3 linked regions of the Saccharomyces cerevisiae S288C genome follow. The gene in region 1 interacts genetically with each later gene. Each region holds a gene or a part of one and is shown in the gene's direction. Other genes may lie near its edges.

Region 1 (4,022 bases):
TGCATTATCGCAAGCGATCAATATTTGAGGAAGGAAGATTATGAAAAAACGCGTTCTGTTGAAAGTAGAGCCTTACCATCTCTCATAATATGCCCCCCATCTTTAACTGGCCATTGGGAAAACGAGTTTGACCAGTATGCTCCCTTTTTAAAGGTTGTTGTGTATGCCGGTGGCCCAACTGTCAGATTAACTCTGAGACCACAGTTAAGTGATGCTGATATTATTGTAACATCATATGACGTAGCTAGAAATGATCTCGCAGTCCTAAACAAAACTGAATATAATTATTGTGTTTTGGATGAAGGACATATAATTAAAAACTCTCAATCAAAACTTGCTAAGGCTGTTAAAGAAATTACTGCAAACCATAGATTAATTTTAACCGGAACTCCCATCCAAAACAACGTTTTAGAATTGTGGTCTCTGTTTGACTTCTTAATGCCGGGATTTTTGGGAACGGAAAAGATGTTCCAGGAAAGGTTCGCAAAGCCAATCGCTGCGTCAAGAAATAGTAAAACATCATCTAAGGAGCAGGAAGCAGGTGTACTGGCTTTGGAGGCACTACATAAGCAAGTTCTACCTTTCATGCTGAGAAGATTGAAGGAAGACGTTCTATCTGATTTACCACCTAAAATTATTCAGGATTACTACTGTGAATTAGGTGATTTACAAAAACAACTATACATGGATTTTACTAAAAAACAAAAAAATGTAGTTGAGAAAGATATTGAAAATTCTGAGATTGCTGATGGCAAGCAACATATTTTCCAAGCTTTACAATACATGAGAAAATTGTGTAATCATCCAGCTTTGGTCCTTTCACCAAATCACCCGCAATTAGCGCAAGTACAAGACTATTTAAAGCAAACTGGTCTAGATTTACACGATATTATCAACGCTCCAAAACTGAGCGCATTGAGAACATTACTCTTTGAATGTGGTATAGGTGAAGAAGATATCGACAAAAAAGCAAGCCAAGATCAGAATTTTCCTATTCAAAATGTCATATCACAACACAGAGCCCTGATTTTCTGCCAACTAAAAGATATGCTAGACATGGTTGAAAATGACTTGTTTAAAAAGTATATGCCCTCCGTAACCTATATGAGGCTAGATGGAAGCATTGACCCAAGAGACAGACAAAAAGTTGTTCGGAAATTTAACGAAGATCCCTCTATTGATTGCCTACTGTTGACCACCAAGGTCGGAGGGCTGGGTCTGAATTTAACTGGTGCAGACACCGTCATTTTTGTAGAGCATGACTGGAATCCAATGAATGATCTACAGGCAATGGACAGAGCACATAGAATTGGTCAGAAAAAGGTTGTTAATGTTTACAGAATTATTACGAAAGGTACGCTTGAAGAAAAAATCATGGGTTTGCAGAAATTCAAAATGAATATAGCTTCTACAGTTGTTAATCAGCAAAACAGTGGATTAGCATCCATGGATACACATCAGCTGCTTGATCTCTTCGACCCCGATAACGTTACCTCACAGGACAATGAGGAAAAGAATAATGGCGATTCCCAAGCAGCCAAGGGCATGGAAGATATTGCCAACGAGACTGGTTTAACTGGCAAAGCCAAAGAGGCCCTCGGTGAATTGAAAGAGCTATGGGACCCATCTCAATACGAGGAGGAGTATAATTTAGACACCTTCATCAAAACTTTACGATAAACAAATTCTTGCATTGGAATGACGCGTATACAAGGTCATTTTTGTTTTATTTAACGCATTTATGTATTATCAACTTGTAATATAATACGGTATATTAATGGAGTCTTATAGAATTTACGGGTATATTCAAATCAGTATTGATAATGTTTTCATATTCTCTTGTTAAAATTCAGGTTATTAGCTGTCTATTGATTATGGCTTGGACTTTTTTTTTATTTTATTATTTTTCATAGTTAAGTTGCGCCAAAGGGAAACTAGAAACAGTTTAGTCGAACTCTGCAGAGCTTCATCTCAGTATGAAAAATTATTCATTTGAGCTATCGAAACGTTTGGATATAAACATACATAAAACCTCTGTTCTTCTGCCAATTTAAATGCAATTCGCTGGGAAGAAAACTGATCAAGTGACCACATCTAATCCGGGCTTTGAAGAAGAAGAAGAAGAAGAAGAAGAACTACAACAAGATTGGTCGCAACTCGCATCGCTCGTTAGCAAAAATGCTGCTCTTTCACTTCCAAAGAGGGGTGAAAAAGACTATGAACCAGATGGGACTAATTTGCAAGATCTGCTTCTCTATAATGCAAGTAAAGCCATGTTTGATACCATATCAGACTCAATAAGAGGCACAACAGTAAAATCTGAAGTAAGAGGATACTATGTTCCCCATAAACATCAAGCCGTTCTACTTAAACCCAAAGGCAGCTTTATGCAAACGATGGGAAGGGCTGATAGCACAGGCGAACTCTGGCTTGACTTCCATGAGTTTGTTTATTTGGCAGAGAGAGGCACTATTCTTCCTTATTATAGATTAGAAGCAGGCTCTAACAAAAGCTCAAAGCACGAAACAGAGATTTTACTCAGTATGGAGGATTTGTATTCGCTGTTTTCATCGCAACAGGAAATGGACCAATATTTTGTGTTTGCTCATTTAAAAAGGTTGGGTTTTATTCTAAAACCCAGCAATCAAGAAGCAGCAGTCAAGACTTCCTTTTTCCCATTGAAAAAGCAACGAAGTAATTTACAAGCAATCACTTGGAGATTACTTTCATTGTTTAAAATACAAGAGTTATCGCTGTTTAGTGGTTTCTTCTATTCTAAGTGGAATTTTTTTTTTCGTAAATATACGACTTCACCACAGTTATACCAGGGTTTAAATAGGCTTGTTCGTTCCGTGGCTGTACCAAAGAATAAAAAAGAGCTATTGGATGCACAATCTGATAGGGAATTTCAAAAGGTAAAGGATATTCCCTTGACATTTAAAGTATGGAAACCCCATTCTAATTTCAAGAAAAGAGACCCCGGTCTTCCTGATTTCCAAGTTTTCGTTTACAATAAAAATGACGATCTTCAGCATTTTCCTACCTATAAAGAGCTGCGATCTATGTTTTCCTCACTTGATTATAAATTCGAATTTTTAAGCGAAATCGAGGATGATGACGATTGGGAGACAAACTCCTACGTTGAAGATATCCCACGAAAGGAATATATTCATAAGAGGAGCGCGAAATCTCAAACTGAAAAAAGTGAGTCGTCTATGAAAGCAAGTTTTCAAAAAAAAACTGCACAGTCTAGCACGAAAAAGAAGAGAAAGGCGTACCCACCTCACATACAGCAAAATCGTAGATTGAAGACGGGATATCGGAGCTTTATTATCGCTATTATGGATAATGGCCTTATTTCGTTTGTAAAAATGTCCGAGGCTGATTTTGGATCTGAAAGTGTATGGTATACACCTAATACTCAAAAGAAAGTAGATCAAAGATGGAAGAAGCATTAAAGGGACTTTTGCTAAATCGCAGTTTCTTTATCCTTGCAAAACTGGCTTTCAACAAATCCGGTATATATATAATTATCATATTAGTTGAAAAAAAAAAGCTACAATAAAATTAAGAAATAAGAAATGCACCTAACTGCTGTATTTGGAGTACATATTTTCATCAAAAACAGAGGGTCTATTGTAAAAGGACGTAGGATTCTCTTGCAGTTCACGTTCTTCGTTTTCAACTGCTTTACGTCTTCTCAAGTCGTACATATCCTCTTGCGATTGTTTCGGTGGTACTGGTGGGGCTGCCATAGTAGGCGTTGCAGCATATGGCGAAGCTTCATAAGTTCTTGGTGGAATACCGGGTCCTTGAGGTAAATCACTGCCGGCACTTATTTTGAGATTTTGAAATTGGTCCCCTAAATTGAGCCCTTGTCTAGATAATGACTGAAAGGCTGCACTTTTTTGGGGCAGTAATGGAGGACCCCCAACGACAGACGCTTTAGAATCAAGTGGAGGGAGGGGAGGAGCGGGAGAATTAGCTGTTGAATCCTCGGTCTGCTTTGCAACTCTCACTCT
Region 2 (4,700 bases), on another chromosome or scaffold:
TACACCCTCTAAGTCTACCGAAAGTGAAAATCAAGAGATAATAAACATTCTTACACCAAGATTGCCTGATAGCAAAGTTTTGAGTTATAATGATATTGATGAAGGGGCTGGAAGTTACTCCAGCGCTTTGGATGATAAGGCATTTGAACGAAAATCAGATAGGGAGGAAAAGAAACCCCAATCTTCCAAAGTTGATTCAAGCATCAATAAGGAAAGTCCGGGAACTGGTATCAAAGTATCTAAAAAAAATTTCCCTGTTCTACGAGGACTAACAGTGGATTCAGAAGAGTATGGCTCTTCTTCATATAAGGACACATCATGTCAAAAAGGAATTCCCAAAAATCTTTTTGATGATTTAAACCTGAACCTACAAACATTACGTCTCGAAGCTCAACAAAAGGAACTTGAAACTGCTAGACATATTTCACAATTAGAAAAGGAAGTCCAGAGACTCATGGTAATAAAAGAAGCTTCAAAAGATTCAAATTTTCAAACAGCACGGCTTAAAAATCTAGAAATTCAGAAAACCTTTTTAGAATCTAGAATTAATGATTTAAAAAATTTATTGATGGTCAAATTATCTCAGGCAAGTAAACTCTGTGACCAAATTACGATTCAAAATAATGGACTTAAAACATGCTCCGAACATGTCACTATTAAAAGGGATATCATCGATCTTGAGAATAAATGTGATGTTTTGAAGCGCCAGAACGAAATACTTGTAAATAATATGCAAAAAATAACCCCCGAACTTCATACCTATTTGAACGAATCGTCCTGCTATCTGGGTAAATTATTAAAAAGCTATCCTACCAGTGCACGGCCACCTTCAAGTGAGAAAGATAATCAAATATATGAGAAAGATTCGCTGAACAAAATAGAAAAAGTAATAAATGAAATGCACGAAACCGTGCGTGCTAAAGAGAAATTGCACCTTGAAACTCAGAAGCTTAATGATGAAAGAGATTCTTTGCGGGCTAATTTACTCGACAATAACAACAAGTTGGATGCGCTAAGAAAACTCTCTGATGGAAGCTCGAAGTCTATGGACCTAACAAAGAAGGCTATTCACCTATCACAATCCGAGCTCGAAAAATATCGTAAAAACAACGACGATTTACAGAAGGAGATTGATAGAATTAAAACTGAACAAGCTGAACAGGATGACAAGCAGGAACAGCGTGGCGCCATCACTCATGGAAATTTTGATGCGTTCCACAGAATGAAAATCAACAATCTGAAAGCGGAACTGTATATGTCGAAAGAAAATAGAGATTCCCTCAAGGACGAACTGCTAGCTTTAAAAAAAAAACTATATACTCTCGAACAAAAAAAATAGTCATTGGAAGACGTTGTTACGCACTGGGAAGTCAATATGTACAAAGTATATAAAAATATATTTAAACACCTATAAGGACATTGTAAACATTAAGTATTAATAGAAGGAGAATATAATTGCCAACTAAGCCTTTTGAGGTTAATATTCAATGGTGCAAAATTAGTAGCCGCGGTTATTATTATTCGCCGGGTAAAGAGCCCGCTTTTCTAGGGGGATTTTAGGTGAGCATGCCTCTAGAAAGCCAGAAGGACCCTTAACGAAGCGAAACTGTTCAGAAGAATGAATAAAAAGACACATTGAAAAAAAGAATATTGTCGCACTGTACATAAGGGAGAAGCTGTAATCCCTGGCAAACTGCTAATATCTAATAAAAATAATAGAAGATGTCATCTGCAAAGACATTTACTAAGCATATCTCGTTTGATGATCTGGCACCTTCCTTAATTGATGACCAAGCTACCATTATTAAAAATGACAGTCACCATGTTGGCTTGAATAATCATTTTTTACATATACCTCCACAATTTAATCCTGTTTACAAAAATACTTTGACCGGTAGCCATGGCTCTAATGACCTTGCCACTGACGAAAGCTTGGACTCACCCGAAGACGAAGAAGCTTCTTCGCCACTACAACTAGGAACTCCAACGTCTACAACATCTGGAGTTCCTCACTTCTATACTCAGGTATTTTCTCCTGCAGCACATGATCCCTCCAAAAGCTATTTGAGATCGCCCAGCGTTGAAAGAAGTAGAAGTGAGTCTCCAATGTTCAGGTCAAGAAGAAGGACTTCAGTGAGGTTGCCTCCCCCTCCAAAAGTATCCGTGCTAAAAAAATCTCGAAAAGCTGCTGATGAACAGGGCCCTATTGATGATATTGATATTGGTGATTTGGATTTTGAGCTGGAAAGAAAAATGACCAAAATGACCGAAAGAAACACTCAAAAAAATTCTGGATCAAGGAAAGGCTATACGCAAGCTGCATTTGCCAATCTTAATGAAGTTGAAGATAGAATTGAGACCAAGTCAATGGTAGATTTATCCGAAAGCGAAAATATGGAGAGCTCAAAGAAAAGGTCCAAGTCGTTTGCCGGGATGACAGACGAAGAATTAGCCAAATTAGAGGAATTTTATATAAGTAAAGGAAGATCGAACAAGACTAAAATAGATCAATTTGATTTTGGTGAGCAAGTTCCAGTCTATTTGAACACAACAGAGTCAAAAACGGATTCAAGCAACGTGACGGACCCTTTAGCAGCAATTTATCCATCAAGGCCTACAATTGTTCACAATGCAATTTCAATGACAATTGATCATCCAGACTATGAAAATTATATTTCCAATACAAAAGAAAAGCTCAATTGCAAAGACAAAGATGACGATGTAGATTTAAGAGTTGTTTCGTGTTATATATCAGGTAGGAGATATACTTGGTCATCTGTGGACTGGTATGTTGAAAATTTGACAAGAAATGGTGATCATTTAGTCATAATTACTACAATTCCTGAGTTTGAAGCAAAGATTGATACTCTAGCATATAAGGAGAAAAGAAGGCACCGCTTAGAAAGGATGACTAGCAATACTAGTGAAAGCATGACTACCGCGTCACATAGCCTTATAGGCCCGGATCTCTCTAGTCCTTTATCAACGGGAATAAGAATAGAAGCTATTCATAATGAGGCTAAGCAAACTTGTAGCGATATTTTAAATTACTACGCGAGAAGATTGGCAACTAAAATAGTTAGGATTAGTATTGAGATGGTAAAAGAAAATTCAACAAGATCAGCCATAATATCTGCGACCTCTCTGTATAGGCCAAGTTTGCAAGTAATCAGCACCGTTAGTGCCAACATTCAAATCAAGTTTAGAAATGGAAAAGTGAAACTACCATTTTTTTTAATGAAACACTTTGCAATGCCAGCATTTGTTGTCCCATTCGAATTCATCAAGCCTGAGCTTTTAATAAAACCTAGAGTGGATAAAGATGAACAGGACAACAGCGATGATTTGAAAACGGAAGTGAGAAAAAAGGAACGATTGCAATGGCTAAGTGCATTAATCAGGAGAACTTTGGAAAACCCTTTCACAAAACATAAAGTGGTTGATTCGGATGATGAAGAAAGCGATAGTGATGAGTCAGTAACCTCTGTAAATGAGTACTTCCCAATCTCACCTGAAAAAAAGGAAGAAATGGAATTCTTCGATAAGATGGGATATGTTAGACCAAAACCGTCGAGACAAGTACTATTGGATGATAACACTCTTATGAAGTACGACAGTTCTGGCCGAAAGCTAACTCCTATAGAATCGAGAAATTCGAGGCGCAGCTCAAAGCGGAGTTCAAGAATACAATTCAACAATAACGGCATTTATAAAGTAAAGTCCATGGTTGATGACATTTACAACCACGAAACTGCCTCTACGCCTCATATCAAGACAGCACTAAAATGGGACAATGAGGATCCGAAAATGAAGTTCACTTCACATCCAATGAGAAAAACAAAATCCGCAGGGCTATCACCCAGAACATCCTCCACTTCATCTTCTTCAGGACAGAGAAAAGCGCATCACCACCACCATCACCACAACCACGTTTCAAGGACGAAAACTACCGAAAGCACCAAATCAGGCAACAGCAAAAAGGACAGTTCCTCATCCTCAACAAACGACCATCAATTTAAAAGGTCTGAAAAGAAGAAAAAAAGTAAATTTGGCTCGATCTTCAAAAAAGTTTTCGGATGAACCGGATTAATACAAGTAAAATCAGCAAAGATATAGAAGACAAAATAAGCGTGAAAACAATCATAAACCACTCACAACGGGGGTTTTCAGCTGTTACTCCTCCATACATACATTTTGATAAAGATATAATGTTATATTTCTTTTCGTAATTTTGTTTTACTTCGGTTTGCTCTATAGATTTCATCAGCCGCACCGAAAAGGGAGATCAATAAGGTACCCTTTAAAAGGGATAAGAAGCCTACATCACCCCAATAAATGGAGTAATGGCCAGCATTGGATGAAGAGAAGAATTACGGGATACTGGGATAACACTGTTAAAAATGCTTCGCGACGTGAGGGTCTTCTTCATATAAATTGAACTGCCAAATCTCTTTCACATTATCCAGGATAGTTTGGAATGTGTGTTACTGAAGGATCAGAATCAATAAATACAATCAATACAAATATTTAGCGCATAAAATTCAAACAAAGTTTACTGAAATGAAGTTAGATTCAGGAATATACTCAGAGGCACAAAGAGTTGTGAGAACTCCAAAGTTTAGATATATTATGTTAGGGCTGGTGGGCGCTGCTGTGGTACCGACCGCATACATGAGGAGAGGCTATACGGTTCCTGCACA
Region 3 (3,929 bases), on another chromosome or scaffold:
GCTCGCATTGTTGTTACTTTGCGTATTTCTTCTGCGCCGTTTAATCCCATTTGGGTTCAACTTGAATGGCTTGTCAGTTGAAGCGTTCGGGAAACTAATAGGCGAGCGATTTACCTGCTGATGTGTATTTGTGTTATGAATTAAAACCTGCGACTGGTTCTGATTGGCTTGTGTGTTTATAACAGGACCAAGTTGTCGGTTAGGGAGCGATTGGTTTATATTTTGGGAAACATTATTTCGATTATGCTGCTGATCAGGTAAGATAGTATTTAGTGCGTTAGAAAATTGGTTGTTTAGCTGTGCAGTATTCGTATTCACATCTATGGTTCCATTCGTAGTCCGATGCTGGTTGATACCAGAATGGGTGTTGGAATCTCCTGTACATAAATCAGCAGTATGCTGTCTACCAGAGCCATTATTCTGCATTTTCTGCAAGTAAGCACTACTAACGGCTGATATCGAATTTAGCAATTCGATAGCAAGCTTATTTTGGGCATTGTTTGTGCTTGGGCGCGCGCTTGGCTGCGCAACCAACTTAAGTAATATATTCAATTTGTTCATAACTTTATAGTTATCTTGTTTTAGGTTTAAAACCATTGTATTCTGTTCCGCGATCTTATTAGATAACTTGTTGAAGCTTTCCTCCATCTCAATCATTCGGGCACTCATTTCGTCCATTCTTTGAAAAATCTTCAACTGATCCGTCGATATTTCGTTCGACGGTGAATCATTAGTCAAGGATTGGCTTAACATACGCCCTGTACCCGCCGTTGTCGAGTTCGAAGCGGAAACATTCGAGTTCACCCGCTCTTCATTACTCAGTTTTTCACCAATAGTTTCTGTTGGTTGACTGGTACCTGTGGGTGCTGAAATCGCTGCTGAAGTCCTCAAAAGACCTCCATCTAGTGCATTTCCATCGTTGCGAAGTGTACTGGCGTTACTGCCACTGGCGCTCTCTGAACCAGTCGTAGGCGAAATGTGAGTGGGCAGTGAGAGGTCAAGATTGATACCTATAGCATCTTCATTTACTTGACTATTCATCCTGTACCCATCCTTTAATGTAGTGGGCATCATTAAGAATAAGAAGAAAGGGCTCATCAGTGTAGAATAATCGAAGCTGATGGTTATCCTATAAATCTTTGTACGTACGATGCAAAGAATCGCAATACCCATTCCAGACATTATGCTCCAGCCATATGTACCCTAAATATAATCTTTTTTGTATATAAAAAACCTAAAAAAGAGATAACTAAACCTAGCTCAATATTTAATTTGACCTAACCCTCCGTCGGCCCTTTTTTTTTATTTTTTTCTTCGGAACGGTGCGCTATAAAGAAAAAAGGCAAATTCCAGGTTATCCATATAAACGCCATAACAAAATTTCATTGATACAGGCTTTAAGAACCTTGCTCTATTTACTACTGCTCTTTCTTCCTCTCTCAGGTTGAGCTATTTTTGAGAATAGCGCTTTACTGCTGCATGGAGGAGTGATTTTTTATAGAACATTGAAAAACCAAAGGACTGGTGCCTAACTACAAAATTTTCAAGAGTTGTTTCAAGTTATCTATATTGTCATTGGTTAATAATTATAAAAAATCTTAAAGTTTGGAGAGCCAAATTTTTTTTCTATATAAAAAAGCAAATGTCATTCAAGTTTCTGATAGAATCGCTGCTTCTCGGTTCGATAAGCGGACAAATACGGTGTGGTAGATCTTCGGTGATCCCCCGTGGCGATGTATCTTATGGGGGAGACGATACTGACGAACTTAACATGGATATAATGTTGTTTGCGTTTGGAACCTTAATCGTGGTCTACATCGTCATCTGTATCGTTTATTTTTTTACAAAACAGATAGCTACGCGGCTTATAACTGCATATTATAATGAGCATGGCCCTGGCCAAAGAATATCTTTATTCAGCGATTATGACGAAAATAATGCACACGTTCATAGCAGAAGATTAATGGAAAACATGAGTTTAAGGTGGCCCAACAATCTTGACGATGCTGATGAAGTAAGAGATAAGCTGGCACAGTTGTCACCTGAAGAGCAGTTTTATTATAAGCAAGGTGAGGAGTATATCAAGCAGAACCCACCATTTCTGCTTAACCAGGGACTTTTACAACAGTCCGAAGATAGCAATCCAGACACCACCCGTGAAGACCCTATTATGAACGAGCAAACAAGGCAATATATTCAAGAAGAGGGGGCTTATGCATGGGAGTTTAGCCCAAATCCTGATATGCCAAACCATACTGTCATAGTGGAAAATAAAACAGAGGTTTCTTTTCTAAATTATAATTATGATGCTTCTATATCCACAAATCTACCCATTCCGTGTATAAATAAAGTATATTATTGTGAATTCAAGATATTTGAAACGGATGGCCCACTAAACAGTGATGAAAATGTATCGAAAGGTGTCATCTCATTTGGTCTTTCCACACAGCCTTATCCATATTTCAGGTTACCGGGAAGACACCACCATTCGATAGCATACGATTCTAACGGCGCCAGAAGATTTAATGACTCCTTCAAACTAAATGAGCAATTAAGAACGTTATTTCCACAGTGTGAAAAGGGAGACATTGTTGGCATTGGCTATAGGTCACGTAGTGGAACAGTATTTTTCACCAGGAACGGAAAAAAACTAAATGAAAAATCTGTTGGTGGTCATATCCGCGGCTGGAAATTCCAATACCTATACCCGATCATTGGCTCCAACGTACCTTGTCAAATTCATGTGAATTTCGGCACTTATGGCTTTGTTTATATAGAAGCAAACGTTAAAAAATGGGGATACGCAAAGTCAAACGGCATTAAATTACCTCCTCCTTCTTACGAAGACTACGGTAAAGATACCCTATTAGAAAGCGGTGGTGAAGACAATGATTTCGACGAAGATTTTTCAGACGGTGATAGCGACAATATTGCGGCTGGTAGTACTACAAATCTCAATGATGATATAATTATAAGAAACGGTGAAATATTACCGCCACCACCTGGATTTGAATTCACTATGTCCCCTCCCACTGGAAAGAAGATCATCAATGAGGAAATTAATCTAGATTCCTTACCTATGCTACCACCAAGTTACTCGGACGATGAACATCATTCGAAAAATGATAAATCAGCAATAAGCGGACGAATTATTGGAACGAGCAGAAATTTAATTACTGATGAAGCATCTTTCGATAGTGTTGATAATGATAACGAAGATGAAAATGATCACGAGAGAGATCCCGAACAATTTTCAGAATTTGATGATTACGAAAGCAGGATGCATGGCATATAATACGAAAATGCATGAGATAGTAAGGCTGAAACACTAGCCCCGGTCAGTTATCTTTTTTTGCGCTGTATTACGCAGAGCCACCATTTTTTAAAAACATTGCAATTTATAACGTTTTCTTCCTTATTGAGGGTTTCAACGCTATCACCTACTCGATATCGCAGTGCAGCATATAGATATTTACATACATATATACATATGTTTACGTACACTAGTAAGGGCAACTGGTTGACCCGCAAACTTCCTTCTTACTTTCCGTACTTTTGCCATCTTTACTTGCACCTCCGTGCTACCTCTTAATGTGTCACAAGAAGAACGTATGAAGTATTTGTCAGCGCTTCAGACATCAGCATGGGTTGCAAATGCGTGAGATTAAAATGAAGCGTTCCAGCTCGAAAGAAAATTTGCTTATCTTTCCCTTCTATCATTTTTTTTTTCTCGTTTTTTATTTTGCATTGCCTTATCTTTTGCCGCCAGAAGAAACAAGGTTGCCATTATCGTGCCATGCGTTTACTTGCTAACGCCCTATGATGTTCCCGGCGGCTTTTGGATACTAATAATAGCAATCATATACCCTTTATTGGTTACTCCTATCCAATGATGAGTTTTTTTAACTCGTTTAAACATTAGGGATGCA

The links.
Region 2: mutations in SEN54 (region 1) and YGR237C together harm fitness more than expected from each alone (negative genetic interaction), as found in Saccharomyces cerevisiae (one large-scale study listed by BioGRID).
Region 3: mutations in SEN54 (region 1) and EAR1 together harm fitness more than expected from each alone (negative genetic interaction), as found in Saccharomyces cerevisiae (one large-scale study listed by BioGRID).

What each region holds. Positions count from the first base shown.
Region 1 is NC_001148.4:396,138-400,159, reverse strand, and holds SEN54 (tRNA splicing endonuclease subunit SEN54), read left to right. Parts: upstream 1-2,054; coding exon 2,055-3,458; downstream 3,459-4,022. Other genes in the region: MOT1 (DNA-binding ATPase), read left to right, coding at 1-1,680; BRO1 (Bro1p), read right to left, coding at 3,588-4,022. UniProt on the Saccharomyces cerevisiae protein: Non-catalytic subunit of the tRNA-splicing endonuclease complex, a complex responsible for identification and cleavage of the splice sites in pre-tRNA. It cleaves pre-tRNA at the 5' and 3' splice sites to release the intron.
Region 2 is NC_001139.9:962,678-967,377, reverse strand, and holds YGR237C (uncharacterized protein), read left to right. Parts: upstream 1-1,722; coding exon 1,723-4,080; downstream 4,081-4,700. Other genes in the region: KEL2 (Kel2p), read left to right, coding at 1-1,339; SPG1 (Spg1p), read left to right, coding at 4,561-4,700.
Region 3 is NC_001145.3:603,234-607,162, reverse strand, and holds EAR1 (Ear1p), read left to right. Parts: upstream 1-1,642; coding exon 1,643-3,295; downstream 3,296-3,929. Other genes in the region: HOT1 (Hot1p), read right to left, coding at 1-1,182.